Astyanax mexicanus: one gene and its partners. The protein of the gene in region 3 purifies or fractionates together with the protein of the main gene of each other region. This does not show direct contact. Links are inferred from orthologs where the notes say so. Each region holds a gene or a part of one and is shown on either strand. Other genes may lie near its edges. The genes, in order: larp1, mkrn1, pabpc4 and paip1.

Evidence for each region.
Region 1: the proteins of pabpc4 (region 3) and larp1 purify together in Homo sapiens (affinity purification with mass spectrometry; 3 studies listed by BioGRID and IntAct, with this or other methods). This does not show direct contact. The link is inferred for Astyanax mexicanus from reciprocal best matches to the Homo sapiens genes PABPC4 and LARP1.
Region 2: the proteins of pabpc4 (region 3) and mkrn1 purify together in Homo sapiens (affinity purification with mass spectrometry; 3 studies listed by BioGRID and IntAct, with this or other methods). This does not show direct contact. The link is inferred for Astyanax mexicanus from reciprocal best matches to the Homo sapiens genes PABPC4 and MKRN1.
Region 4: the proteins of pabpc4 (region 3) and paip1 purify together in Homo sapiens (co-immunoprecipitation; 3 studies listed by BioGRID and IntAct, with this or other methods). This does not show direct contact. The link is inferred for Astyanax mexicanus from reciprocal best matches to the Homo sapiens genes PABPC4 and PAIP1.

What each region holds. Positions count from the first base shown.
Region 1 is NC_064424.1:34,118,820-34,126,709, reverse strand, and holds the start of larp1 (la-related protein 1), read right to left. Parts: upstream 3,013-7,890; 5' UTR 2,700-3,012; coding exon 2,312-2,699; intron 1-2,311. UniProt on the Homo sapiens protein: RNA-binding protein that regulates the translation of specific target mRNA species downstream of the mTORC1 complex, in function of growth signals and nutrient availability.
Region 2 is NC_064409.1:10,277,066-10,283,917, reverse strand, and holds the start of mkrn1 (probable E3 ubiquitin-protein ligase makorin-1), read right to left. Parts: upstream 3,003-6,852; 5' UTR 2,922-3,002; coding exon 2,848-2,921; intron 1-2,847. UniProt on the Homo sapiens protein: E3 ubiquitin ligase catalyzing the covalent attachment of ubiquitin moieties onto substrate proteins. These substrates include FILIP1, p53/TP53, CDKN1A and TERT.
Region 3 is NC_064421.1:41,826,791-41,833,892, forward strand, and holds the start of pabpc4 (polyadenylate-binding protein 4), read right to left. Parts: upstream 3,001-7,102; 5' UTR 2,469-3,000; coding exon 2,273-2,468; intron 1-2,272. Other genes in the region: zpcx (zona pellucida protein C), read right to left, coding at 4,969-4,990, 5,582-6,566, 7,038-7,102.
Region 4 is NC_064429.1:12,542,658-12,550,651, forward strand, and holds the start of paip1 (polyadenylate-binding protein-interacting protein 1), read right to left. Parts: upstream 3,002-7,994; coding exon 2,863-3,001; intron 2,857-2,862; exon of another isoform or gene 2,714-2,856; intron 1,998-2,713; exon of another isoform or gene 1,878-1,997; intron 58-1,877; exon of another isoform or gene 1-57. UniProt on the Homo sapiens protein: Acts as a coactivator in the regulation of translation initiation of poly(A)-containing mRNAs. Its stimulatory activity on translation is mediated via its action on PABPC1. Competes with PAIP2 for binding to PABPC1.

The DNA of each region.
Region 1 (7,890 bases), on a different chromosome or scaffold from region 3:
CACCACAAAATTAATAATTTAAACACTACAGCACAATAAAGTTTAGTGCTTCCTGTTTAGGGCAGGAGTATGTCAGCTAAGATTGCTAACATACTTAACCTAGCCGCTAACAGCTCAACATCACTCTCGCTACAGACTGAGATCCTTAAGCAGCCAGTTAGCAACATGCTAATGCAGAATGCTACATTCACTGGTGTACAACAGCAGCCAGGGTGCTAACAAATCTGCTATGCTAAAGTTATAATATTAACCACTGGTTACTATTTTACTGGCTAATATTAGCTAGCTAGCTAACTGCATTAGCCAATGTACTTAGGGTAATAGTTTATAACAATAGCCAGCACATACTACACAGGCAATGCTTTTACAGTTCTAGGCACTACAAACCAATAGTTTATAATTAAAACAACAATAATACCAATAATAAGCCAGAATGCTAGCGAAAGCTCATGGTTCAACACTGTTATAGACAAAAAAAATATTTTTATTAGCCACCAAGCCAAAATCAATGATAGCTTATACTATAGAACCAAGGGTTTTATTATTTGCCAATAACATTGTAATAATATTACAAGCCAGTATACAAAAGTTAATAGTTAATAATGATAGCCAGTACGATTTTTATATGCCACCAAGCTAAAGCCAATGTTAACCTACACTTTAAAGACATAGTTTTTATTATTTGCCAATTACGTTATAATAAAAGGCCAATAAGTTGTTAAGTTACCCATATGGTGCAAAATATATTTAAAATGTACACTAAATATATTTACATTTATAGATTATAAATATACAAAAATGGCTTGTTTATTACACAAGATCAAACTTATGAATATGCTACGTACTCTACATATCTGATTTAATATTTCATTGTGTATAGTGCATGTAACGGTAATGATTTTTTCATAGGGTGATATATTGTGACGATTATTGTTTGAAAAGATGTCTAAGATTCTGCATTTTAGGTCACTGCCAAAAGGATAATATAATAGCTTGATGATGCTACTTGGCTTGACAGGATAGCCTAGTCATATACATATATTGCTCCAGACAAATTATTGTAACTAATAATGTTCCTGTTACTTTAAAGCACTGTATTTTATTCCACTGATGGAATGGTGATATAATGGAATAACCATGCAACTCAATTCTCATTTTGTTATTACAGTATTAACTTAAAATGTAAGGGCAATATCAAGACCAGCTATAGTTGTATGTGTGTGCGCGTGTAAAAGAGAGAGAGAGAGAGAGAGAGAGAGAGAGAGAGAGAGAGAGAGAGAGAGAGAGAGGCCTACAGACTATTTTTCAAGTAACGTTAAGTAACAAACTATCTAAAATATATGTTCTGTTTATAACATATTTTATAATGCAATACATTTGCAAATAATGATCACCATTTATGAAGATGCATGTCTATGTATTTCTGTTAGCTAGGAAGCTAGTTAGGTTAGCTAATGCCAATAGTTCATAGCTGCTTCTAGCAGGCTAGCTAAAGCAAGCTAGTGGGGTTAGCCTAAAAGCTAAAGCCAATACTTTCAGCCCGTTTTCGTTACTGCTGGCATGCTAAACTCCACCTATCCCACTCCTATCGCTCAGGTAATCAGCTTTAATGCCATCAAAAATCCCCTGTCACCCCCTGTAATCAGACCGATGAATACCTTTACAATCTGCCCTGAAATCAGCAGAACTGGGGTATTTAAAGCTAGCTCAAGCGACTCGATCATTGGCAGGGCTCGGCTAGCTAGCTTTTATGCTAACAACCACATGTCATTTAGCCAGCTACCAGTCTAAACAGATTAACGCCTGCATTTGCTGTTTTTAAAGACGGGTATAAATGGATTAGGCGAAATTCATTTTAAAAAGGCGAAACACATAGGGTGTTGTTGCATTTTTTACGTTTCATCGTCATTTTATAAACTCTGAAATGGCCAAACGCTGGAATCTCAGAAGCACATGAAACACATGGGTTAGAGGTGGAGAATCCGTGTCCGGGGAAGTAAAATCCACTCCAAGATTTCGTACCAACTGCTGGGCTAGCTCTCGCTGCGACAAGCGCCAGGCAGGCAGTTGGTACAAAATACTGGAGTGGATTTTCACTTTCTGGATCTGTACGAGCCAAAAATGCTTTAAGTCAGGGTTTGGCTGGGTTTAAGCCAGGTTTTAGTCAGATTCTGCAACACCCAGTAGGTTTAACGTGGTTTCGAGGGGTTTTAGGGAACACATAGCAAAAATTAAAGGTTAATAAACACGAATGGAGTCAGCTACAGGATAGAATTAGCTAGATTAGGTAGTTTGCTAGTTAGCTACCAACCGTTGTGTTGTGTTTGTCCGTTCACGCTGACCACGGTCACGGCGTTCATCTTCTTAGTCCAGGGGTTCACCTTGGGTGGAGGTGCTTCAGTAAACTCCTTTTTATTAAAGTTACTCCTCTTGCCGCTTTCTTCTCCACCCTGCTCTCCCTCCTCGCCCTTCTCAGACCCAGACACCACCACCACCCTGTCCTGCTGGCCCATGGTCATGTTCTTCTCCTTCTCCTGCAGGTTGCTCTCCTCCTTCGCCTGCTTGAGGCTCTGCTCTAGGCCGGCTCTCCCGCACGCTCCCTCGGCCTGCTGGAGCTCCGTCTGCGGGCCTTCACGCTCCTCGTCCCCCTTCTTCAGCAGAGGGTTGCTCGGCAGGAGGGTCTCCACCTGAGCGGCCATGACTCCGTCTTCTCCTTCCTTCTTCTCCCCTGCTTTCCTCTCCCCCTCTCAGCCCAAAAACGTGTTCCCGAGCTCTCCGACCCCCTCCGGAAAAAAACAGAAGCTCGACTCGGCTCGGCTCGGTCCTCCACTCCACCCCTAGACCAAAAGGATTCAGTCTAAGACGCAGAGTGGCGAGTTCGGATCAACACATGTAAAACCGGATCGAACACCAATCATGAAGCTCTCAAAAAAAAAAACAGCTAGATTCGTGCTGATGATCTCCGCCAGGCTGGGTGAAACTCCACCACGCCACTCACGGGAGCGCGCACGCTGCCTGTGTTCGAGTCGCTAACGAATCGGTTCGTTTGAACTGCGCCCCTTTCTGTGGAAGGCTTGAGCCGACTCGCGAGTCGGAGTCGAATGTTGTGAATTGTAAGCGGCCGTGTCTGAGCGATGATGAAGCAGATTTGATTACATGTAATTATAATTTAAAAAATGATTCAGCATTGTAGAAAGAAAAGCGTGAATCGATTCACGAGTCTGAATCAAGTTTTGTGAGGCATCTGTGTGATGATAAAACGTATTTGATTAGATCTAATTATAATATATTAAACAGTTGTATGTAATGCTTTAAATTGGAAGTTTGCGCTTGTGAAGCATGATTACATCTAATTATATTATAAAAAAAATATTTGAGTGTTTTTTAGGATTTGTGTGATGGTAAGGCATATTTTATTACATCTGATTATAATATTAAAAATGACCTGATTGCAAAATTTAAACAAATGTAAACTGTTAAATTGTAAAAAAAAAAAATGTTTTGAAGCATTTATGTGAGGATAAAGTATATTTTATTGCATCTTATTATACGTTAAAAAGATTCAACATTGTGCAAAGAAAAGCCTGAGTCGATTCATGAGTCAGAGCCTAGTGTTTTGAAGTAGATGTTTGTGTGATGATAAAGCATATTTGATTACATCTGATTATAATATAAAATTATTAACATAAAAAGTTTATAAAGCGTAAGTTGATTCACATTTGATTACATCTAATAATTATATAAAATATCCTCACTGTAAAATTGTCAAATGTTAAAAACTGTAAAATAATGTGTTAAAGCAAATACATGTTTTGAAGCATTTGTGTAAAGATAAATCTTGTGTAAAGATAAATATGAGGAAGCATATTTGATTACATCTAATTATATTTTAAAAAGATTCAACTTTGTAAAAAGAAATGTGAGTCAATTCACAAGCATAAAGCATTTGATTTCTTTCAATTATAATATAAAAAAAATAATATTGTAAATAAATGCTTCTGAAGCGAGTGATTTTAACTGGAATTGTCTGTGTGATGATAAAGAATATTTGTTTACAACAAATATGAAAATTGTAAAAAAGAAAATCAAACCTTGATTCGATTCATGAGTCTGAATCCAGTTTTTTGAAGCATCTGTGTGAAGATAAAGTGTATTTAACTTTAAAATACTATACATTGTGAAAAATAAACAAGTTGAAGAGTGTAATGAGTGTAAAGCATGTTTGATAACAACTAAATATAATATAAAAAAGATTAAAGAAAATAAAATCAAAGAAATTAATTGATTCTGTGTCTAAATCAAGTGGTTTAAATTAATAGTGTCTGTGAAATAGTGAAGCATATTTGATTACAACCTTTATAATTAAAAAAAGATTCAACAATGTCAAAAAAGTATATAATGTATATATAATGAAATACATTTTTCTCCCCAATTCACAAGACCTATTATCCAGAGGTGGAAAAAGTACTGAAAAATTGTAATTAAGTGAAAGTAGCTTTACTTTGCTAAAATTCTACTCAAGTAAAATTACCCATCTAAAAATCTACTCGAGTAAAAGTAAAAAAGTACTAAATTTAAAATGTACTTTGAGTAAAAGTTACATAGTTACTTTTAATTATTTAATGTAAAAAAGTACAACAAATCATAAATTAAATAGTTTTTAATGAACTAATATTCCACATAATAATTTGGGTGGTCTTAAGTATTTGTTTAGACCACCCCATAAAACATTTTTAAAGAACAGGGTTTTTATTATCCATTTTTTTACTGTTAAAAAGTTATGGTCATATAGGTATACAACTATGTGTGATAAAATCAGCGGAACATAAACACAGCGAACATCATGAAGCATTTCTCTAATAAACTCAGTTTGTGGACGCAGATTAAGCACGTAACGTAGCGCAGCTCCGTTAGGTAGATTAGCTAGCTAACTAACTTGTTAGCTAACCTAGGCAGTTTGATATGTCTCCAGTTTAGTTTAGCATTGTTTGATGTCTAAAAGGGATCTATATAATCCATCATCATTAGCTAAGGGTTTTAAGTTATATTCGCCTCAATTACATTCGCAGACAGATGCAATTCATACAGCTTTCAGTGAATTTAATATACTTTTAATTTGGGAGTTAATACACCTTAGTAAATTAATTAACATACAGGATAACAAACACCTTTTGTCTTCATTAACCTTTGCTGTTTTTCAGAAAACCCTGAAGGCAGAATTCAGTCAAAGAAGGTTGTACAGGTTAGGTTCGGTTGTACAATTTTTAATGAAGGGATTATTATTGCGCTGGATATTTTACTAAATACAGAAGATTGTATAATCTGTGTAGCTGCATATGAACGAAGATTACTGGTGTTTGTAAAGTAAATCCACAGCTAACCAGTGAATTTAGAATATACATATACCACCACATGCTTCCTCAGGTTTGATGTGGAAGTTTTCAAAGCTGACAGCTCTGTCCGGCGGGGCACATTTTGAATTGTATGAGGACGTCATTGCTTCGTTATTCCACGCATGAGCATCCGCTCCAATTTTTTTTTATTCAAACAATTTTTTCCCCCAGCAATTTATTTTTACTCAGTAACAGGGAGTTTTCCAATGTAGCGAAGTAAGTTACTTGTGTCAAAATGAAGTTGAGTAAAAGTAAAAGGACCTTTTTTAGAAACTACTTTAAAAATGACAAATTACTCATAAAATCTACTCAATTTCAGTAACATGAATAAATGTAATTCGTTACTTTTCACCTCTGCAATTACCCAACCCACTCATTAGGACTCCCCCTATCACTAGTGATGCCCCAACACCAGGAGTGTTTTAGACTAGCACATGCCTCCTCCGAAGCATGTGAAGTCAGACTCAGCCTCTTTTCGAACTGTGCTGATGCAGCATTGCCGAGTATCCAGCGTGCTCAGAGGAAAGTGCAGTGACTTGGTTCTGATACATCAGCTCACAGACACCTTGTGCAAATCGACATCACCCTAGGGGTAGGAAAGAGCGCCATCTACCCACTCAGAGAGAGCAAGGTCTATTATTCTCTCGCAGGGTGACAGTAGTCGATGGCAAGCTACATGAACAGAATTTAAACTGGTGATCTCCTGATCATAGTGGCAGCACTTAGCCCCCTGAACCACTCGGAATCTAAGCATATTTAATTTAATCTATTTATTATATTAAAACTGAAAAAATTAAGCATTGTAAAAAAGTGTTTTACAGCATCTGTCTGTGTGACGATAAAGAATATTTGATTACATCTAATTTCTATATAAAAATGATTAAATGTCAAGTGTTTTGAAGCATCAGTGTGATTAAAAGCAGATTTATTTACATCAAAATATATAATAAAAAAAAGATTTTTTTAAAAAAAGTTTATTATTATTATGCTTCTAATATGAATTTACACAAATAGTATATTAACATTGTATTAACAATGTCTTCAGTTTGCTACAGAACCCTCATGTTTTGCAGACTGCAATAAAAAAACAGAATTATTACTATACTTTTGGTTAGGGATAGAAATACAGTATCAGTTAAACTTGAGCCGATTCACGATTTAAAATCTATGATAAATCAGGTTTAATTACATATAAATATAAATCAGAAAAGATCATTACATAAAATATAAAAGAATAACTAAAGTAAGATTTTACTATATTAATTCATACAAATCATATAACAACAGTAACTCATTCCCGCAAGTGTTACTTAGTTTTAAAGTTATTAATAAAATTATAATGTAATATCATACATGCAATACATTTAATAATGTAATAAATGTTAGAATGTAATTTTATACATTCAATAAATGTAATAATGTAATATTGTTAAAGCAGTTATGCATGAAGTTGTAAAGGATAACTAAATGACACATACAAATTACCACATTTACACAAATACATACAACAATACATTATGTTACATTAAAGAAATCAAGCAGAACTGGGTTCTAACAATTTGCAGAATACTGTAATATTTAAGTGGTAAACTTATTTCCAGTCAGATTATCATAATATAGATCTAATAAAAAGAATATACAAGGGACATTAAATGCAGGGACTGTAGTACTCTACATAAATATTGCGCAGAAGTCACACGTGAAAACCTGAATATTAACTGTAATAATATGTCAGTGATTGTTAGATATGTAGAAGTGTAAAAAAAATGCTAAAACTGCACTAAAGCAATAACCAGCGGCTAAATGTTAAAAAAAATATATATGTTATATCTATTAAACATTCAGGTACTGTAGTGTTATTTGAATTGTCTGTCTCAATTAATGAGCCGAAACCACATTCGACTCATTTACTGAACCGAATCTACTCTCACCTGCCGGAGACAACACAGTGAGCTTCTGAATCAAAGACTCGCTGAACTGAATCATTAAAAGAAAGAATCGGTTCTTTCAGCTCAGTCGAATAGGCCGTCGCCGTTGCCGCGCACGCGCCCGTAAAATGAATGGGGGCGTGAGCACGTAGCGGTCGCGCGCACGTGGTAAGAGCAGAGCGTGCACGTGCGCGTGCACAGCGTTCCCGCAGCATGTCGCCTGGTGGGGTTCTGTACTGCAGGAGCCGAACTGATCACTGAACCGCCCCGGAGTCACCGAGTTCATCAGAGTTCAGTCTGATACTGAATCAGAGAGTCACTTCACAACTGAGTCACTTTTTTCCCCACTGATTTTCTCACAAATTTACAATTTTATTTATATATACACAACAAACACAACGTCTACTATAAGAACCTCAACACTACAGTACCTAAACTTGAGCTGCATTTCAGATTTGGCAGGTGCACATGAATGTTCCCCAAGTCCTAATTTCACGTTACCGAGTTGACCTTTAAACTTTAAAGTCAATATTTTGTGTGGCCACCATAACTTTCCAGAACTGCCTTAA
Region 2 (6,852 bases), on a different chromosome or scaffold from region 3:
GTGTTCACCGCACCTGTCCTACTCATTAGACTAATCACAGAACTCGTTACCTGGAAAAAAATTTGCTCAGCTGAGCTTTCCAAAAGGCCCATTTAGGCCATTTAACTGTGACACTGTTGTTTCATTGAATTAGAATAAATGCTCGAATTTTTGTTTTCTGTGAAGAGTGTTCACTGTGCAGTATAAAGTCAGGGTTGAGTAGAATTTCTAAGTTGTAAAATCAATCATGGGTAAGCAGCGCGACCTCTCAACCGGAATAGTGGCTCAAAATCAAGCCCTTCGCCAACAAGGCTTGACCCAAACTAAAATTGCTGAGCAGCTCGGCATCAGCCAGTCTTCCATCTGCAAAGCTCTCAAGAAAAACTGCAGCAAGCGCACCAACTGTTCCGGCGTCCGAAAAACTTCTGCTCGCGACAAAAAGCAGCTGAGAAAGATCGCAGTCAGCAACCGGTTCAAGTCCACTTCCGAGCTCACCGACTTGTGGAACAAGCAGACCGGCGCTGACGTCTCCAGATCAACCACTTACCATTGTCTGCGCGAACTCGGCTTCAAATCTCGGAGAAACGGCTGAAGTGGGCCAAAGAACACGGCGAGTAGACTGCTGAAGACTGGCAGAAAGTGGTCTTCAGTGACGAATCACGCTTCTGCATCTCCTTCGGTGACCAAGGTCCTCGTGTCTGGCGTCGTGGTGGCGAAACCTACAGCCACGAGTGCGTGAAAAGATCCGTCAAGTTTCCCCAGAGCGTTATGGTCTGAGGATGCATGTCCGCTCGAGGTGTAGGGAAACTCTGCTTCCTCAAGAAGACTGTCAATGCTGCCGTATATCAAGATGTTCTGGAAACGTTCCTGATTCCGACTGTTGAGGAACAGTTAGGCGAAGAAGACTTCATATTTCAACAGGATCTTGCACCGGCTCATGCGGCAAAGTCGACCAAAGATTGGTTCACTAAAAAACAGCTTGAAGTTTTGGCATGGCCGGCCAACTCGCCTGACCTCAATGTCATTGAAAACCTTTGGGCCATCGTCAAGCGGAAAATTCGCGACAGAAAGCCTACTACGCTGGACCAACTGAAGCAGAACATCGCCACTGCCTGGGAAGCTGTGAGTGCGGAAACTTGCGACAAGCTGGTCAAATCGATGCCGCGGAGACTTCAGGCAGTCATACAAGCCAAGGGGGCAGCCACAAAATACTGAGAAAGTGATGATTGTAATTATAATAAAAATTATTCTAATTCAATGAAACGGTTTCTCCATTATTCTAATTCAATAAAACAACAGTGTCACGGTTAAATGGCCTAAATGGGCCTTTTGGAAAGCTCAGCTGAGCAAATTCTTTTGCAGGTAACGAGTTCTGTGATTAGTCTAACGAGTAGGACAGGTGCGGTGAACACCTGATTTGCTTTCTGCACAAAAAAATGCATTCAAAGAATTTCATGATTGCACTATTTCAAATTATTCTAATTTGTTGACCAGCACCTGTATATTGGCATTAGCATTGGCATATTGCTACATGTGTCATTTTGGATTTACGCATCAGCCCAGAATTCCCACATCCGTGCATTTCTATTAATTAACCCCTATTTATTTGTCTTTGCACTTGTGTCTTTATCAGAATCTGCCTCAAAACTGTTAATTTTCATACTTTTAACAGACAGGTTAAGCTAATAGCTAACAAAAATCACCAAAATCAGCTGGTAAAGGAGGAATACATGAATAGCGTTTGTTTATTCAGAATAAATAAATAATAAAATAATCTATTTACTAAACACCTAAAGCACTTGGCATTCCTAAAAAAACGTCTCTAAGGCTATTGTTCCCAACGTTAACAATCATCTACAAAACAATAGGCCTAGGACCAAGACGTTAACAGAAACGTTAACAGCTTGCTGTTATTATGCGAATCTGCATGTTCGCAGAAGAACAACATGTGTGGCTTCACTAGTTTGAGTTCATAGTGCGGTTAGCTAACCTAGAAAACCTATAAACAAGCTGGACGAGCAACCTTAACAGAGACGCTTATAAATCAAACATGCGTAGAGTCTTTATCACTGTGGATCTTTAAGTTAAATCTATAGGAGAGCATGCCATTGCTGAATGGGGGACTAAATGAACAACGTCAAAAATACTTTTATTTGTTAAAATAGATAACTAGTTTAAGTATTTAATGCCATGCTGAACTAACAGACTGGTTAAGCTAGATAACTCGGTTAAATCAGTTGGAGAATTCTTCAGTGAGCAGTGCTATTGTTTAAAAGGGGAGCTACAAAAATGACTTTTGTTTTATTCACAACATATAAGTAATAAAAGCGTCAAATTACACATAGAGGGCTTGACATTCCTCAATAATCGTCGCTTAGGCTATTGTTCCTCATATTTACAGCTATCTACAAACAATAGAGCTCTCCTAAGCTAACTAGCTAGCTGACAACTTATATAACTTACTCTCATACACTCATTATAATATCCTTGTCTTCACTTCTTTACTTTGCCATAAACAAGCTGCTTGTCTACGAGTAAACTGCTCAGAGAAACGTTATTTAATGGTGTTCTGGTTCTCGTACTGAGAGATAACCCGAGCTCAGCCGTGTTCCCTGCACCGTTTAGGCTGAACACACTGCAGCAGCCGTGTTTACTCCGCTGTTACTGTGGAGAGTCTGGCTGATAGCTAACCCAGCTATCGAGTTATCACAACAACAAACATCCAGCTCTCTCCCTCTGTGTTTCTCTACCCGACAAAAGACGCTGTTTTCAGCGGCTCCGTACAGCCAAGACACGGCGTGTCCGCATTAAACACACGGCCATTTTGATAACACGACAACACCTGTACTTCCAACGCATTCCACCGACCTGCAAGTTACGTGCTTCGTCCAGCCTCCCGCCGTTGTTGGAGCCGCTGTAGGTGCCGCCGCTGCCTCCGCCATTGCTGTTTATGTTGAAGCCCAGCAGCCGGATGTTCCGGCGAGCCGCGCGCTGGAGCGGAGGCTCCTCGGCAACAAGAGCAGAAACAGATCCCAGCGCTCGCCGCCAGGGGGCCGGAGAGGACCGTCTACAGCAGCACAGCGCACTGGCTGCGTTCCAAACCACGCACTAGCATACTAGCTCATTATTATGCAAATATGAAAGGGCCGTGTATTTGTGCGGCTAAGCCTAGGCGGTGAAGCGGCTAAAGCCCCGTACTACAGGAATGTGCGATTTGGAACGCAGCACTTCACAACCACTTACTAAAGGGACACGCTGTACCGTATTTTCAAGTGAACTAGATTACATCTAATAAACAGTGTTCTCCACACAGATACATCATGTTCAGATTAATCTAGTACAACTGAAACGTTTAAAAACGTTGAAAAAAAACATTGCATTTTTTTAACGGAACATTTTAATAATTTATAAATGTTTTCTTCTTAGTTTCTTAGTAACACATAGAAATTAAACGGCATAAACAATAAACCACTTGCACTGATAGCAGCTTTTTACATGTAGGAACTATAATAAACAGTGTTAAGAAGTTTTTTCATTTAATTATTATTATGAATATGTAATATATAAGTAATATATATATATATATGTAATTGCATTGTGCTGGATTTTATTTAGGGTTTTCAGAGTAAATGGCGCTGAATACTTTTGCACATCACACTTTTCAGATTTTTATTTGATTCAATTTTTGAAAACTTTGTATAATTTTCGTTCCACTTCCACTTTATATAGCTATGGAAAAAATAAGAGACCACTAAAATGATGAGTTTCTTTGAGTTTACCAAATTGGAAACATCTGGAATATAATCAAGAGAAAGATTGATGACAAGCCATCAAACCAAGATGAACTGCTTAAATTTTTGCACCAGGATTAGCATAAAGTAGTGTGTAAAACTGGTGGAGGAAAACATGCCAAAATGCCTTTAAAAACGTGATTACCAGGGTTATTCCACCAAATATTGATTTCCAAACTCTTAAAACTTTTTTTGAATATGAACTTGTTTTCTTTGCATTATTTAAGGTCTGAAAGCTCTGGCCTTTTTTCTTATTTCAGCCATTTCTTATTTTCTGCAAATGAATGCTTAAAATGATTTTTTTTTTTTTTTTTTGAAGAAATGTTGTCCGTAGTTTATAGAAGAAAAACAATATTCATTTTACTCAAACATATACCTATAAATAGCAAGAGAAATTGATTCAGAAACTGTAGTGGTCTCTAAATTATATATATAGTTAGTGCCTTTAAAGCTTTGATTAAAGTCTCTATGGAGATATTTAAATGTTTTGAATGTGGCGGAGAAGAGACCTGCATGACAGCATCAGGCTTTTAACATGAGTTGTTAAGGATAAATGATAATTGTTCTTAAACAAAACTAAGGGATCGATATGAAGACATATCACAAGTCATCTCAAGCTTCAGTTGAGTTTTAGATGATGGACTGACGCCCACAGTGAGATGCTAGACATCCTGTGTGTGTGGAAAAGAGAATGAGTTGAACGTTATTTTGGGAATGTTATGGAAAACTCCCCTACCTCCCTACCGTCTCAAAACATTGCTTAACATTCTTATAACATTCTCTGTTAGCTGGGAAGGAGACAAGGTTGTGTGGTGCAATGAAATCATCCCACTAGGCTGAAAAGGTGCTGTAGAAGCTATGTGTCCATGTGTCTTAAAAGAGCTTTACACCAGAGCCGCTCAGTAGCTGTGTTTTGTGGACAGAAGTGACACCCACCTACTGTTCTACAATATGTCATCACACACCTGTTCAAATATTACCTGTGTGTCCCTGTGGCAACAGCGGCTCACTCTTTCCCACTGGTCTTTATTATAAGAGATCTGAAGAACCAATTAGTCTAAAGCAGTCTCTAAAAGCTCTGTATTCCTGCTTCTGAGTGTGTTCATCTTCTCACTGTTTGCTGATGAGGTGCAAAGTAAAGAGGGCACTTCTGTTATGCAGCCCAGGCTATTTCTGTATCAATGGGGCTTATAGGCTTTGTTCACCTGTCTGTCTTCTATGCATGCATTAATTAACTGCAAATTGGACAAATATTAATGGGTTATCCTTCTTATAAAAGAGATTTATTAATTTATTAAGGTATATAACTAAGGTATAGTTCCATTAATCTTGGATGTCAGAACTGGGAAAAATGTCAAACGCAAGTTGACCGCATACCACTTTTAACACTAGCCAAAAACTCCTGACAATGTATTACTATCATTTTATGGCAAATCCATGCAAAATGTATCTTACCTTTTATGTCCAAGATTATTATTTTTAGCATTGCCTCAGGTTAGTATTGTTAGTAATATTAATTAATACTATTTACTAGTAGATTTCACACCACTTTCTTCCAGCTGGGTCGGGTCAGGCTCAAGAAAATGGTCTGTGAAGTAGGCGTCTGTTTTTTAATGGTATTTTTTTTATATAAAGCTATGGCGTGATAATAACAATATAGTATATAATATAATAAAGTTGCACAAGTTAGAATGTTATAATCTCGCAGCTCTGGAACTGCGCAGTAAGCACTGTGCACATGTATTAATAAACATTTTTATTGAATAACAGGTCTATGCTTTTTTAGTGTTGCAATTTTAATTAACACCATTCTGTACAGATTTTGCTCATTCACACAGCCTAAAAATGTCTTTAAAAGCTCCGTTTTAGCAATCTACTGACAAAAAAAATGTCGGGTTTAAATTGGGCTTGGGCTAACAAAGTCAGTTTATAGGGCTGGTCGGGTCGAGCTTCAGCAGAACGTCCATGGGCTCAGGTTGGGTCGGGCTGGAAATTTGGGCCCAATCTAAGCTCTGTGAGACACAAATACAAAGAACTGTTAATAATCTGTGTTAATGAGTGATGCAGCCATCTTGGATTCTGAACTTGGGTTGGTCAGGGTTCCAGTTGAAATTTCCTACTCGGAAATTCTGACATCATAGTACCAATGAAGTGAAGCATAATCCCAGTCAACCAGACAACACTCAGGTCTGCTCTATGATGGAAAACCTCTTATGTACACAGTTAGAATAAAGAATAGTCTACAAGTGCCTATATATTCCACCATACATTGTACCCTCAACAACATCATCCTTAACCCTTTATGGTGTGGTGTTGCCCCTCAGGCAACAAACCACTTTTTGGATTATTACACTGTACTTTCATTTCTTAGCACTACTGTTCATATTTGTGGATTTTTTTTTCCCAGACAAGAGATATAAGACAATTTTATGTCTCTTCTGCTATCACAACAGACTGGCAGGGTCACTGCACAATGTTCTTTAGCTATTAGCCTGATAATGAAGCAGTATTGTTTTTTACTTATTTATTTAGATAGCATATCAGGTTCTTGAAACTTTATTCCCTTTCATTGGGGGAAGATTTCTGTCACTTTCCTTTATAACTCAGTTTTAAGTGAAAGGGTGACAATTAGGAACAAGGGGTAGAGGTAGAAATGATAAATAGGAATAAGCCATATTATGATAGGATATTATGTGCTTTTTTTAATATTGTGGCGGCTCTGGGTTGTGTGTGTGGCTGCCTGCAGGCATGTTTCTGTTCTGGTTGGTGGGTTGGTGGCCTTTGGTGGCTGGGTTGGTGGCCTTTGGGCTATTAGAGTTCTGTGGGTAATGGTTTTAGCTCTCCTAGTCTTGTTAAAGACTGTAAGTGAGTGGCAAGCCGGTTCAATAAAGGAGCTGTTGAGCATTCAGCATGAGTCTCACGGGTCTTCGTTCCTCTTCCACGCCACAATATACTCTATTAACATTAATATTTTGAATCAGTGGTGTCTTAAAGTGGTCCACAAGACCACAGGTTCACCATATTCTGGTGGATCAGAAAACAAAAAAACTAAATGAGATACAGAATAATCTCTTGGGTCTGA
Region 3 (7,102 bases):
TGGAAAACAAGTTTGTTAATTTTGCACATTTGGCTGCTTCTTCTTCCATCTTCTTTCTTTTTTTAATATGGCCTTTTCGGCTCCACCTGGCCTCTTTTTACCCTCCATCACAGTCGTCTGACGCTTTGTGCTATTCTGTTGCTGCATTTAATTTGATCGCTTCAGAAAAGACCACTCGTGGACGCAACCAACTCAAACATTTGGGAGAGGAGAATTCCCTCAGATGGTTAAACCCGACGTAGGGGCTGTGTTGTCAGACGAATAGAGAGTGCATACGTAGTTGAATGGCAATGAATGCAAGAATAAGATTAGAGAAGTGAGGGTAAATAATTTTTTCCGTCCAACCGGCCCAAACTCGCCCCGGCCCATCGGGAATAAAATTATATTAATAATAATAATAGTAATAATAAAAGTGTGTGTGTGTGTGTGTGCAGTTTTAAAAAAATCTACAAAATATTCAGAATGCTAACTAAAATAGAATATGTCAAAATAATGTCAATATTATTATTATTATTATTATTATTATCATTATCCTATATTAGACTGTACTATTTATTTTATTAAAAATGTTTATTCTTTAAATTAATAAAATATTTTAGTTACTGTCACCAAGAACATTATTATAAACACACCCTGTAGCTAAATGGCCTAACAAAGTACTACAGTATATTAACCTAACTAAAATAGAATATGTCAACATCTAATAATACGTACTTGTAACTTTCTGACAGGTAATATTCTCACTCTAATGGTAACCTAATCCTAATCAAATATTATATACAGTTATCTTTCACTAGTGGCATCAAATATTTTCTAAGGTGATGTTATCGTAAAACAGTACTGAGGGAGCTGTGCTGAGCTGTGAAATGGTAAATTCATGTGCGTTGTGTCTGACCCGTGTGTGTAAACCTGTGTAAGGAGAATGAAAATGAAGATTTGTGCAAAAGAAACACTCATTCATAAATTCGTCAATTAAATTCTGAACGACGGAATTAATGCGTTGCTAAAATATATCATAGAACCACACAGCCATACTTGAAGTAGCATAGAAAATGAATGTGGCTTATTTTAGACCCACGCTGCCCGTTTGAGCGGCAGCGATACAAAAAGGGCTTTTATTTAAAAAGTAAGAAAGCAAAAAATAATATAAGGATGTACCATGATCAAAAACAATTTAATTAAGGAATACCTTGAATACTGAATGATTCGGAATATTACGATCTCATAGTGAACAGTTTTTATTTTTTTAAGAGTGACCCTAAAACGTATAGAATCTCTACACAGATCTGCTAAATGTGTTGCTGGATTTTGTGTGTCCGGTTGATTTCCTAATTTCTCCATTTATATGCTGTGGTGGTCTCTGTATTGCGCGTTTTATTAAAATCCCCAATGCCTTCGAGAGAGAGAGAGAGTGTGTGTGTGTGTGTGTGTGTGTGTGTGTGTGTGTGTGTGTGTGTGTGTGTGTGTGTGTGTGTGTGTGTGTGTGTGTGTGTGTGTGTGTGTGTGTTGGCTGGCTCAGGTCTTGCAGCATCAGACAAATTAAACATGATTACTAAATAGGCCAGCAATGAAAGAGTTGATAAAAAATAAGTACATTTGATTACATTTTGTTATGTTTTAATCAGGGACTACATTTTGCAAAGCCCAGTTTAGCCAGAAATACATGAATCTAGCACATCTAATAACACAGCAGACATTTGAAGCACTTGGGGGCTTTTATTTTAACAGGAGATATAGTTCCCTGACAGAGTCAGAGGGCTGAACTGCTTGGAGAAGGAGGGGATATGTATATTCTGTCCGTTTTTGCATATGGAACGCCTGGAGGCGTTATGAAAACGCGTGGTGGCGTTATGTAAGCGCCTGGCGCCGCCACACGCTCTTAAACGCCTGGCGGCGCCTCGCGTTTGTTCCAAGGCGTAAAAGTAAGCCCTGCACGGCGTTTTGGACGGCGTTTTTTAAGTATTTCGCACGCTTTAAGCGCCGTCAGACCCAGGCGAATTCTGACCCATTTGGCTTGCCATACACCTACAGTTACTGCTACACACACACGTGCTCCACTACAGAAGCAGTCTGCTGAATGTCCACCACACACAATCAGAGCTCCATATCCCCCACCCACCTCAAACAGCTGAACACACACACATACACACACACACACATGTGCTCCCAACCATCACAACCGCACAAACGGAACACACACACACACACACACACACACACACACACACACACAACCGACACACACTTCAGCCTGCAGCGTGTCCGTACATACCGTCCGCCGGCTGCTGGAAGTTGACGTAGGCGTAGCCGAGCGAGCGGCGCGTGATCATGTCCCTGCACACGCGGATGGAGAGCACGGGGCCGGCCGGACTGAACTTCTCGTACAGCATGGCCTCCGTGATGTCCGGGTGGAGGTCTCCCACGTACAGCGAGGCCATCGGGTAGCTCCCCGCGGCGGCCGCGTTCATAGCGCGAGGTCCTCGGTGTCCGGCTGAAAACGGAGCGGCGGAGGAGCGCGAGGGTCCGGGCTGAGTGTGTGTGTGTGTGTGTTAGTGAGTGTGTGCGTGTAGCAGAGGGAGAGAGAGAGGGATAGAGCTGTTTAGCCCGGCTCCGCTGCTGTTACCTGTGGTAAAGTTTCCGAGCTAATAAAAAAAATTATAGGTGGTCCTGAAAAAAAATAAAAACCAAAAAAATAAAAATAATAATAATAATAATAATAATAATAAAAAAACTTAGAATAATTAGTCCCGGAGCGCGCAGAGGCCTGTTCTGACTTTGAGAGAGAAAATAAAACGCTTGGTAAAAATTAAAAAATAAAAATGTGTTGTTGTTTTTTCCTTTTTTTTTTTGGTTTAGTCCGCGAGGTGTTGGTTTTTTTATGAAGATTTTCTGTATTTTGTAATTTTTATATGTTTTTTATTTTTTTAAGGTAACTAAAGAGGAGTGAGTTACACACTCACGGTTGGGTGGCCGGGGAAAGAGAGCGCGTGGGAAACGCATGGGAGCTTTATAAGTGCAGCAAGGAGCGGTCACACACACACACACACACACACCAAGAATGCGCTGTTAAAGGGAGAGGGACGCTGCGATCTGTGACAGCTGTTCTGTTCCCTCAGCCGCCTGCACAACAGCGCCCCCTGCAGGCAGATATCTGAGCTCTCAGGTCACATGGTCCGCAGGCAGCGGAGAAGGTGGACAGTAATACAGTATATAAATTAGTCGTGTCTTTTCTGTTGACAAATTCATCATATTACACTCTGAGAACTTTCTACTGCTTTTTGTAATAAGTACATAAAGATTTAAAAAATATTTTTTATTTTTAAATGATTTAGTTAATTACTTGAATTTCTTGCCTCTTTGAGAGCATCAGTAAAGTTGTGAAGAGGTAGAGTTGGTATTCAGTGAAAAGTTTTCTCTGATGCTCTCACTGAATAGCCCTATTTGAGTAATGCTATAATCCATATGATGGCAATAACTACTTTACTTAGTAAAGAAAAAATGATTTAAGAAATAAAGGTCAGTCAATCCCAAAAATGTAATATCTTTTTGAAAGCATCCTCAAGTGCAGTCACTCATCAGAGCGCCCCAGGAAAGAAAGAGCAAGAGTGACCACTGTTGTATGGGATAAATTAATCAGAATTACCAGCCTCAGAAACTGCAAATTAACAGCGACCCTGATGAAAGCAACTAAATGCTTCACAGAGCAGGTGGTAAAGTTTCCAATCTAATAAAAAATAAATAAATAGGTTGTCCTGAAAAAAAAAGAAGTAATAATGAAAAGAAAATAAGAAAAAAAATAGTCCTGAGCACACAGAGACCTTTTGATGGAGCACTTTAGAGTATGTTTTGTTCAAATCTCTGCCCTAGTATTTTATACTCTGTCTGGCCAAGAAAAAAAAAATCACCACTTGAATTGATCTAGGCTAATCATGTGGGGTTGCTGCAGTTTGTCAGGTCTTTTTTATACACAGTCTATGGTCAGGACACATGGGCCACAGGCAGTGGTAAGGGCCAGTAATACAGTATATTTACAGTATATATGAAAAAAGACAGGAACATGAGTCTAGTCATTTGTGGCACTGGACACAACCAACAAAAACAATCTGTGTGTATAGATAGTGTGTGTATGACACCACTTTCTGCTGCCCTTCCTCCTCCTTCTCCAGGTCAGGGTTCTTTTCCTTCTCCATTCTTTCCAGCTTATGCTACTTTTCGGTCAGCATCCAGGAGCTTCTGAGAGTCCAGTTTGGCCCAAAGCTCCTCCACAACGCAGTCTGTCGTTCTGCAGTGCATTCAGCATCAGTCTTTGGCTCACACCTCTTTTCCTCAGTCTACCTGCTGCTCTATCCTTCATCTCCTCAAGCTGCCCATTCCCTCTCTCCACATCAGATATGCCATCTTTATACTAACTATAACTTAGTACAAATACAATGCACAAAAACATTTACATCAAAAGTTACAAAGAAAGGCATCATTTCTAGATAAATTAGTTAATCACTGAGGTGCTGCAGATACCTTGTCAAATATTCATGCATCAAATCAATATGTTAACTTATAAAAATTGTTTTTGTAAAATGAATAATTTAAGGGAACAAATCTGACATTTAGATTTTTGGATAGTCTACGCCTTTAAATGCAATGGGTAGAGGTCTAGATTGCATCATTGTATAATATTCACACCCTGACGGGATCTAAATAGTGCAACACTGCTATCTAGTGGGCAGGGTTTAAAACCAATTAAGCAACGAACGAATGAATGTCTTCATGTTTACCAATTACAATGGTGTTCTTAGAAATATCGCAATAAGCTATTTAAACACTTCTTTTGGACACCTTGTTCAACTTCAGGTCACAAAATGAACAAAGTCTTTCATCAGAAGTAAAGGAATCAACATAATGAGTTTGCAAATTTGCATTTTATTTACACAGTTTAAGCTTTCATGGTTGTACAGCAGTACTTCAGTCAGGTCACAACATCTTATTCAGCTTCCTGCAAGCACAGAGAAAAGGAAAGGTCAGTGTGTAAACAGGACAAGAACCAAATGTAACCAATATTATTGACAGTTGGAAACGGTAGTTTTTTTTTTGCCATTCAGACCTTATTTTAGCCATTGATGTACAAAAAAAAAACAAAAAATCTAAACTGTATTAGTGTAGTTACTCCAAGACATACCAGCATAGTAGCACATGGTCAACTAAAATTAGAGGACCACACTACAGGTGTTAAGCATCTGAGGGGTATGTAACTGCAATAGAGGATAGTCCATAAGGCATTGAGCCATACGCAGTTCAATGTGAAGCCCTTAAAAAACACTTACACTTTAAATTTAGATTTTAATTCATTTATTCCGAGATATTTTAAGTTTAAAGTTTAGCTCAGTAAAGCACTTTAAGACTTTTTTCAGCAAGATACCCTTCTTGTACAATTGTGCTTAAAATACAGAATTTTGGTTTGGCTCTGGCTCCCATGTTAACTATAAATCTGGTCAACAATTACATCAGCCCCAGTACAGTGCACAAACAAAGGTTTGGGCAGAAAACTACCAAAATGAAAGTTTAATGTACAGCAAAACGTCATTACCTCATTAGCGCCATCAGGGAGGACACCAGTTCTTTCTTAGCACTCAGTTTTGCCGACTCCTCCCGATCATCCAAACCAGGCGTCCCCTGCTCTTCTGCATAGTCAAGTGAGCTTGATTCATCAGAAACTCCCTTAAAAGTCAACTCTGACTTCTTCAGAAACTCAGGCTTATCCAGTACATCTGCATTAGCCTTTTTAAACAAGAGTTCTGTGTGAGAGACAACCAGAACATCACCTTCATCGTGGTCTTCAATCAGTTCTGGAACATCACTTTTTTGCACATCATACATAGAAGCAACAGAGTTCTCGCCTGAGGAAACCTTCTCCAGCTGTGGCTCTCTAAAATTTGTGAACACATCACCCCTCAGTTCCTCCTCAGGCTTGTCAGGAAGGCTCTCCAAAGGTGGCTGAGGAGCTTCTGCATAGTGTCCACCACTCGGTAAATGTGGGGCATCAGCCAGAGGATACCCATCAGCCATGCCCAAAAGTTCTTGATATGCAGGTTTAACTGCTGGAAACACCTGCTGTGGATCTTCTCTCTGCAGACTTGCTTCAAATTTGGCTTCTGGTTTCCTCCAAAACACATCAGCTGGAACGCTGCTTTGACCGGATAGAAGATCAGCTCTACCCTTCCTCTGAGGATAGCCAATTTCTATCTCAATGACTGGGCTAGACTGAACACCCATCATAAGCCCTGGTAGCAAGAGTGACAAAGCATCTCCTAGGCCTCGGCCTACAGCCAAATCTGCAGTTACAGGTGATGTCTGCCAGGGGGAGCGGTTGACCTTAGGGCTGCCAGACACAGATGCTCCAGAGACAATCCAACCCTTTCCAGTTGAAGAGGTCAATGCTCCTGATGGAGACGCACCAGACAAGATCCAGGGTCTTCTATTGGAAATGGTGGGAGTTCTGCCAGTCAGCGGCTGCTTCTCAAGTTCCTGTTCCTTGATTGATAGTGGACCAGTGCTCACCACTGCTTTGAACTCTGAAAACAAGAACATTGCTTTAAATAACATGCTCAGTCCTGTTACAAAGGACTACAACAATGGAGGGGTCAGATCCACAACTGCATGGCAACTACAGTAGTTTAAAGTTGATAATTTACTTATTTGTAGTTTCAAGCATACAGTGTGGATTAAAACAAATATTGCAAAGAGACAATTGGCTAAGAGAATGATCACTACGTAACAACGCAATAGGGATGGGACAAAATAATCAATATTGCAATACATCAATATGTGGCATCAAATATTTGAAACTGATGCATGAGATGCAGTATGACCCTCATCCTTACCAAATTACTGCAGTTTTTTGATGATTGAAGTAGTGATGTAAACATAAGTAGATTGGATTAAAAATGGAATGGACATTTCTTGGTGCACGTAAACTCTTAACTGGAGTATTCTGGGATTAGTGCATGAGTATTAGCCGACTGGCGCAACCAATAAATACTGACCACCAAAAGAAGCCGGATATTCAGAGGGGTATCTGCATTTTGTTGCACAGCATTCACATACGTCA
Region 4 (7,994 bases), on a different chromosome or scaffold from region 3:
TGGCTTCTTCTTTGGTTTTAATAACCCTTCTTTGATTCCCAAAAAACAGATCTCCATCTACATAATACAATTAAATACTTTATTAGATTATCAATGAGATTTTACAGTCCTACCTATGGTTTTAATGAAGGGAGTACTGTTTTATGATCATATTAAGGCTATCAAATTATCCTACCTATGGTTTTAATGAAGGGAGTACTGTTTTATGATCATATTAAGGCTATCAAATTATCCTACCTATGGTTTTAATGAAGGGAGTACTGTTTTATGATCATATTAAGGCTATCAAATTATCCTACCTATGGTTTTAATGAAGGGAGTACTGTTTTATGATTATAATTAGGCTATCAAATTATCCTACCTATAGTTTTAATGAAGGGAGTACTGTTTTATGATCATAATTAGGCTATCAAATTATCCTACCTATAGTTTTAATGAAGGGAGTACTGTTTTATGATCATATTAAGGCTATCAAATTATCCTACCTATGGTTTTAATGAAGGGAGTACTGTTTTATGATCATAATTAGGCTATCGAATTATCCTACCTATAGTTTTAATGAAAGGAGTACTGTTTTATGATCATAATTAGGCTATCAAATTATCCTACCTATGGTTTTAATGAAGGGAGTACTGTTTTATGATCATAATTAGGCTATCAAATTATCCTACCTATGGTTTTAATGAAGGGAGTACTGTTTTATGATCATAATTAGGCTATCAAATTATCCTACCTATAGTTTTAATGAAGGGAGTACTGTTTTATGATCATATTAAGGCTATCAAATTATCCTACCTATGGTTTTAATGAAGGGAGTACTGTTTTATGATCATATTAAGGCTATCAAATTATCCTACCTATAGTTTTAATGAAGGGAGTACTGTTTTATGATCATAATTAGGCTATCAAATTATCCTACCTATGGTTTTAATGAAGGGAGTACTGTTTTATGATCATAATTAGGCTATCAAATTATCCTACCTATGGTTTTAATGAAGGGAGTACTGTTTTATGATCATAATTAGGCTATCAAATTATCCTACCTATGGTTTTAATGAAGGGAGTACTGTTTTATGATTATAATTAGGCTATCAAATTATCCTACCTATAGTTTTAATGAAGGGAGTACTGTTTTATGATCATATTAAGGCTATCAAATTATCCTACCTATAGTTTTAATGAAGGGAGTACTCTTTTATGATCATAATTAGGCTATCAAATTATCCTACCTATAGTTTTAATGAAGGGAGTACTGTTTTATGATCATAATTAGGCTATCGAATTATCCTACCTATGGTTTTAATGAAAGGAGTACTGTTTTATGATTATAATTAGGCTATCGAATTATCCTACCTATAGTTTTAATGAAAGGAGTACTGTTTTATGATCATATTAAGGCTATCAAATTATCCTACCTATAGTTTTAATGAAGGGAGTACTGTTTTATGATCATAATTAGGCTATCGAATTATCCTACCTATGGTTTTAATGAAAGGAGTACTGTTTTATGATTATAATTAGGCTATCGAATTATCCTACCTATGGTTTTAATGAAAGGAGTACTGTTTTATGATTATAATTAGGCTATCAAATTATCCTACCTATAGTTTTAATGAAGGGAGTACTGTTTTATGATCATAATTAGGCTATCGAATTATCCTACCTATAGTTTTAATGAAGGAAGTACTGTTTTATGATCATAATTAGGCTATCGAATTATCCTACCTATAGTTTTAATGAAGGGAGTACTGTTTTTGCTTGTAATTCTGAATTCTGAACATAATCACCATATATATGCTATACATCTGAGTGTGTGTGTGGGTGAGAGAGAGAGCAAAAAGGAGATCATAAAAAGAGAGATGCTTATACAAACTAACCCTTTATCTGAAAATTGGAGTCATATCTCAGAAGGTTCTGCCGCTGTGATTTGTCAAAGTCTGATGGGTATGATCCCGAAGACAGAAGATTGTATACTGTTTCCCACTTCTTTTCCATGGCTATCACGGAAGATGGATGGAAGAAAAGGGTCAATTTAAAGTCCAAAACAATTTCAAAAAGCACTGATAATACCACTCTATTATAATAGAAATATATATATATATATATATATACACACACAAATATATGCACATATATATTTACACACACACACACACACACACACACACACACACACACACACACACACAGACATATATATATATATATATATATTATACTATATTACTGTATATTAAGTATTCATGGTTTGGCCTGTTTAAGTTTCAGTTTCGTAGACAATAGGCTCAACTAACCGTGTCTAGAAGGCTAGCTTTAATTCACTCGGCTAGCTAACTTCTGTGTACATTTATCAGGCTAAAAGACAAGTCTTAACTCCAGACTAATGTACCTGTATTTGCTCAAAAGCCCTAAAACAGCCTCTGAATATATTTGTGCTCTTGAGCCCACCAAATTAATGAGGTAAGGCTCGTAGTTACACGTGGGTAAGCGCAAACTACCGAAACCACCGTGAGTAACGTTAACGTTACAAACATTGAATAGTTTTGAACTTAACCGCACCATTTTTAACCACTCAAGGTATTTTTTTCTTCTATGTACACGTTTAAAACACTCCTGCAGACATTAACATGACGCCTAGTTCATATAGTAAGCTTAAAGCAAACAATGAACATTAAATAGACGTTAAAACATTATAAAGATCAAGTTAACTCACCGTACTTATATCCAGGTAGGATAAAATTATGGGCGTACCCGAAAACCATCGTCATTTGACGTAAAAATGATGTGCGCATGCGCAGTAAGCCTCGGTAGGACCACTCGATGGGTAGGATGAAATGATAGAACACCTGGGCTGTCTGAGAGGTTCGCACTGGTTGAAGACCGAAGCCCCCGGGTCCTCCTCGCCCTGCCGGCCGGGGTAAGCGTCTCTCACGCCGGGGGGGCAGCCGGCCTTCCCCCGGGTCCTCTCCGCTCCGGGAGCGCGGTCAAAGCTCTCCGCCATGGCCGAGCTGAGAGCGAGCAGAGGCGGACACAGCTCACACGATCATCCGCCGGACCCGAGTCTGGTCAGATTAATCGATTAAAGCTGATCGAGTCCGGTGTGTGTGCTATCTCGGGCGCGCGGGCGGCGGGGTCACAGCGGGGGGCCGGAGATCTTATTTATTTACTGAATATTCCGGTTACAGATCCAATCTGGACTACAAACACCTCCCAGCGCTTCTTCTGGAGCCGCGGAGCTTCTGCAGACCCGCCGAACAGCAGCGCCACCTACTGCTGGAGCCCTGCCGACAACTGCAGCCGCTCTTTACCATAAAACACACTAAAAACACACATTTACTAATATATAACTTAACATTTAAACACTAATATATTACTTATAGCAGTTTCTGAATCAGTTTCTCTGATTTTGCTATTTATAGGTTTATGTTTGAGTAAAATGAACATTGTTGTTTTATTCTATAAACTACATACAACATTTCTCCCAAATTACAAATAAAAATATTCTCATTTTGAGCATTTATTTACTTTCAGACCTCAAATAATGCAAAGATTACAAGTTCATATTCATAAAGTTTTAAGAGTTCAGAAATAATCAATATTTGGTGGAATAATCCTGGTTTTCATGCATCTTGGCATCATGTTCTCCTCCACCAGTCTTACACACTGCTTTTGGATAACTTTATGCTGCTTTACTCCTGGTGCAAAAAATTTAAGCAGTTCAGTTTGGTGGTTTGATGGTTTGTGATCATCCATATTCCTCTTGATTATATTCCAGAGGTTTTTATTATTTGGTACAATCAAATAATTAATTAATAAACAAACAAAAGGCAAGGCAATAGCAAACATTTAATACACAAGTGCAATCCAATTGCTTTACAGTGAAATTAACAAGTAAATAGAATATAAATATATACAATAAACTAAAGAGTGAACTCTGTACCTTCAAGCCAGCATACTGTAAAGCACTAGGAACACAGAATAAAGGTTACTTAAATTGTAAGTCATCTAACTTAATCTTTCAAAGACTTATTTCACAAAAATATTACTACTTTAGCTAACGACTTACAGATTTAAAGGCTTTTTCACCCAAATATTATCAATTCAGCTAACTACTTACAGATTTAAATTCTTATTTCACCCAAATATTACTACTTTAGCTAACTACTTACAGATTTAAATTCTTATTTCACCCAAATATTACTACTTTAGCTAACTAATTACAGATTTAAAGTTTTTTTTCACCCAAATAAGTCTGAAATAAGTCTTTAAATCTGTAAGCAGTTAGCTAAATTTAGCTAACTGCTTACAGATTTAAAGACTTATTTCACCCAAATATTAACACTTTAGCTATTTGCCACTTTAGCTTTTTGGGGGGGTGTTTTTTTTGGCGGGGGTGTTTTATTTTATTTTTATTTTTTGGTGGTGCGTATTGTTGGAGGTGGGGATTGTTGATTAGATTATCAGATCAGAGATTGATAGGAGGGCCCGCCTAAAAGCCTTGCGGCTCTCCGTGCGTGAGAGCCGTATAGAGAGAGCCGCGTATACACAAATGTTACCTGTGTAGCACAGTTGGTTGATTTTATCGGATCGCCAATTACAAACCCGACAGACTAAAACTTTCAGTTTTTTGTCTTTTGACTGAAGTACATAAATCAATCCGTGCGTGCTGGGTTTCATTTAAAATTGGTTCTATAAATTTATTACAGATTGTGAAAATGTGACCAAAATTCAAACTTACTTTCACAAGATCACCATAAAACAAACTAATAAGAATTGTTTTGTAAAAAAAATATTAGCATTACAATAAATTCTAAATTGTATATACAATTTAATTTTGCTTGATTATATTGTATGGAGTTAAATCAGTGTCACCAGAACCTGAAACAAAAAAACATGATTCTTGAAAATAAAGAGTGTGTAATCTGGTGTTCTTGAAAAATTTACCTTCAAATATTTAGATATTTAAAATTCAGGTCTTGAAATTTCAGATAAGGACTGTTTTAAAAAATTCAGGTACAAAATTTTTAAGTAAAAAAAAAAATCATGTAGCAAAAAAATAATTCAGGGATTAAAAATTCAGGTTGTAAAAATTCAGGTTATAAAAATTCAGGTCGAAAAAATGCAGGTTATAAAAATTCAAGTTGTAAAAATTCAGGTAAAAAAAATTCAGGTCGAAAAATTTCAGGGAAACATCCGGGGTACACAGAATGACCAATCAAGCGCAGAGCTAATCGAGCTCACAGCGGCCAATCACAACACAGCTCTGAAGCCTGTGGGAGCTGCGTCTTTTTTCACCTGTGGAGAAGCTCCGTGGCAGCTGCTGGGAGAACACAGCTCCTACAGTCGTAAGTAAACTATAACTTGTTTACTCGTCCTCACGTTCGTAAAAACTCTTAAAACTAGTGTTTATTGTTGAAATGGTTGTGTGTTCATGATTGGAAGTGGCTCAGAGCGCGAAATTACGTTAGGTTAGGAGAGGGTCAAGTTAGCTAAGTTTAGCTTAGTTAAACCTAATTTAGCTTACTTTAGGCTAGTTTAGCTTACTTTAGCTTAGTTAAGCCTAGTTTATCTTAGTTTGGGTTAGTTTAGGTGAAGTGATGTGAGGCAAGGTGAGGTTACGTTATTTGAGTCTAGTTTAGCCCAGTTTAGGTGAGGTGTTTTATGTGTTGTTAGGTAGCTGGCATTGAGACTGGGTGACTGGATGAAAATAAACAGTGAGTAAATTAGCTATTTAATAGATATGTAGAGCGTCCTCTTATCTCTGTGGTTTATTATTGACTGACGAAATCAGTTTATTTCTGTTTTAGTTAGTTAGATATCTTGTGTATGTAACTATTGAGGTTCGTACACCATGCTATTGCCAGATTCCCCATTTAACAGACTGGCGTTGGCTAGCTGTTATATTTATATATGGGTATATAAATATCTAATTACCTTTCCTGGACTTTCTGGCTGTTAATTCATGTCAGTGCAGTTTAATCAGTTTAGATGTATTTGGCATCCAAATACATGTTGATTACCAATATCTAATGTAACATTATCATTAATGTTGAATTATTTATTTTTTGCTTTATTTTGTCTAACATACATTCTGTTGTGTCTTGTTTTTTAGAATGTGACCGTGCGAAGTACTGCATATTACCAAAACTAGGGGAAATGTGCTGTTAAAAAATGTGTTAACTGGTTTGTATGTGTTTATTAGCGTGTGTATATATATATATATATATATATATATATATATATATATATATATATATATATATATATATATATAATGTAGAAAGAGGATCACACAAAGTAGCCATAGAGTGGCTTACATACATACACACACACATATATATATATATATATATATATATATATATATATATATATATATATATATATATATATATATATATATATAAACACACACACACATACATATACATATATACATATATACATATATATATATATATATATATATATATATGTGTGTGTGTGTGTGTGTGTGTGTGTGTATGTAAGCCACTCTATGGCTACTTTGTGTGATCCTCTTTCTACACAGTATTATATGTATATTTGTTTGAGATACCACATGTAGAATGTTTTAATATTGGAGAATGATTTATTTTATGATTTTATTTTTCCACCAGCTAATGTTCTGTATGTTTTGTAAACTCCTACATTTCATAGAATAAACATGTTTTCTAAAAAGACTTGTACTTAAGTCTAGTTATTTTAGTTATCTAGACTAGTTATCTTAGGTCAAGAAAACAAGAGTTTTACCCCTGAATGTCACAGCTGTAGGGGATAATTATCAAGATCCACTGCATGGCAATAGGTTTTTATTTCATTAACAAGTAAAAAAGCTTATTTTAGAGTATGTCAAAATCCTGGAGTAGACAAAGACTAATTGTTTGCTAAATGTATTACATTACTAAAGCAAATTATTCACAATACAAAAAGTAAACATATTTATTGACCTAAATATACTCATTCTTTTCAGGACAGTTTCCATCTGTTTTTATGTGCTGTGATTTATAATGACAAAGATTGAAATAATATTGTGTTCTAAACATAGAACTTTGCAGTTTGAAACGGAGACAATGAAAAAGAACCATTAAACAAGGTTGGTTGAAGGGTTTACACATTTATTTACATAAAATAAAAGTACAATGTCTATCACATTTGGCTTAAACGGTCAAATACACAAAATGTCAGTGTATAGATATATAAAACGTAAGTGATTGTATAAAAGTATTAATTATCCAATTTCAGGTAGTTGGTGTTACTAGTCTCTCAGTTAGTGAAATGGGGATCAGCTGAGTGCAGTATAAAGACACCAGTCTGAAAGCTCTCATCACTGAACTCCATATAATTAATTGTGAGATTACTGGGACAAACTACCTGGACCTGAATTAGCTCAGTCACTTTTTAGGAGGTCAATATACTGTATATGCAATTTAATGTTTACATAATGGGCAAAGGAACTCCTCTTCTTCAGGTGGGTTTCCTACACAGGAATGATGGAAGCACTTGTCGCATCCATTGCAGGCAATAACGAATGAAATTGGTTGTTGGGATCAGCAATTTCAGTTAAATATATCATATAGCAGACGAACACAGTGATATTTGAGAAGTAAAATTAACTTTATTTTTTACAGAAAGTGCGTAATTATTCCTTAAACAAAAATAGGCAGATGGATACCTTTGGGCACCCTTGTTGTATTGATTTGAATATATTTAGCACTAATTATTGGAACACAAAATTAGTTTGGTAAGCTCATTGACCCTTGACCTACATACACAAGTGAATCTAATTATCAGAAAGGGTTCATGTAGCCAATTGCAAGTTTTTCCTCCTCTTTACATCTTCTCTGAAGAGTGGCAACATGGCAGCCTCAAAACACAACTATAAAATGAATTGAAAACAAAGATTTTTCATGTTTTTGGGGAAGGATGCAAAAAGCTCAGAGATTTCAGCTGTCAGTTTCCACTGTGAGAAACAT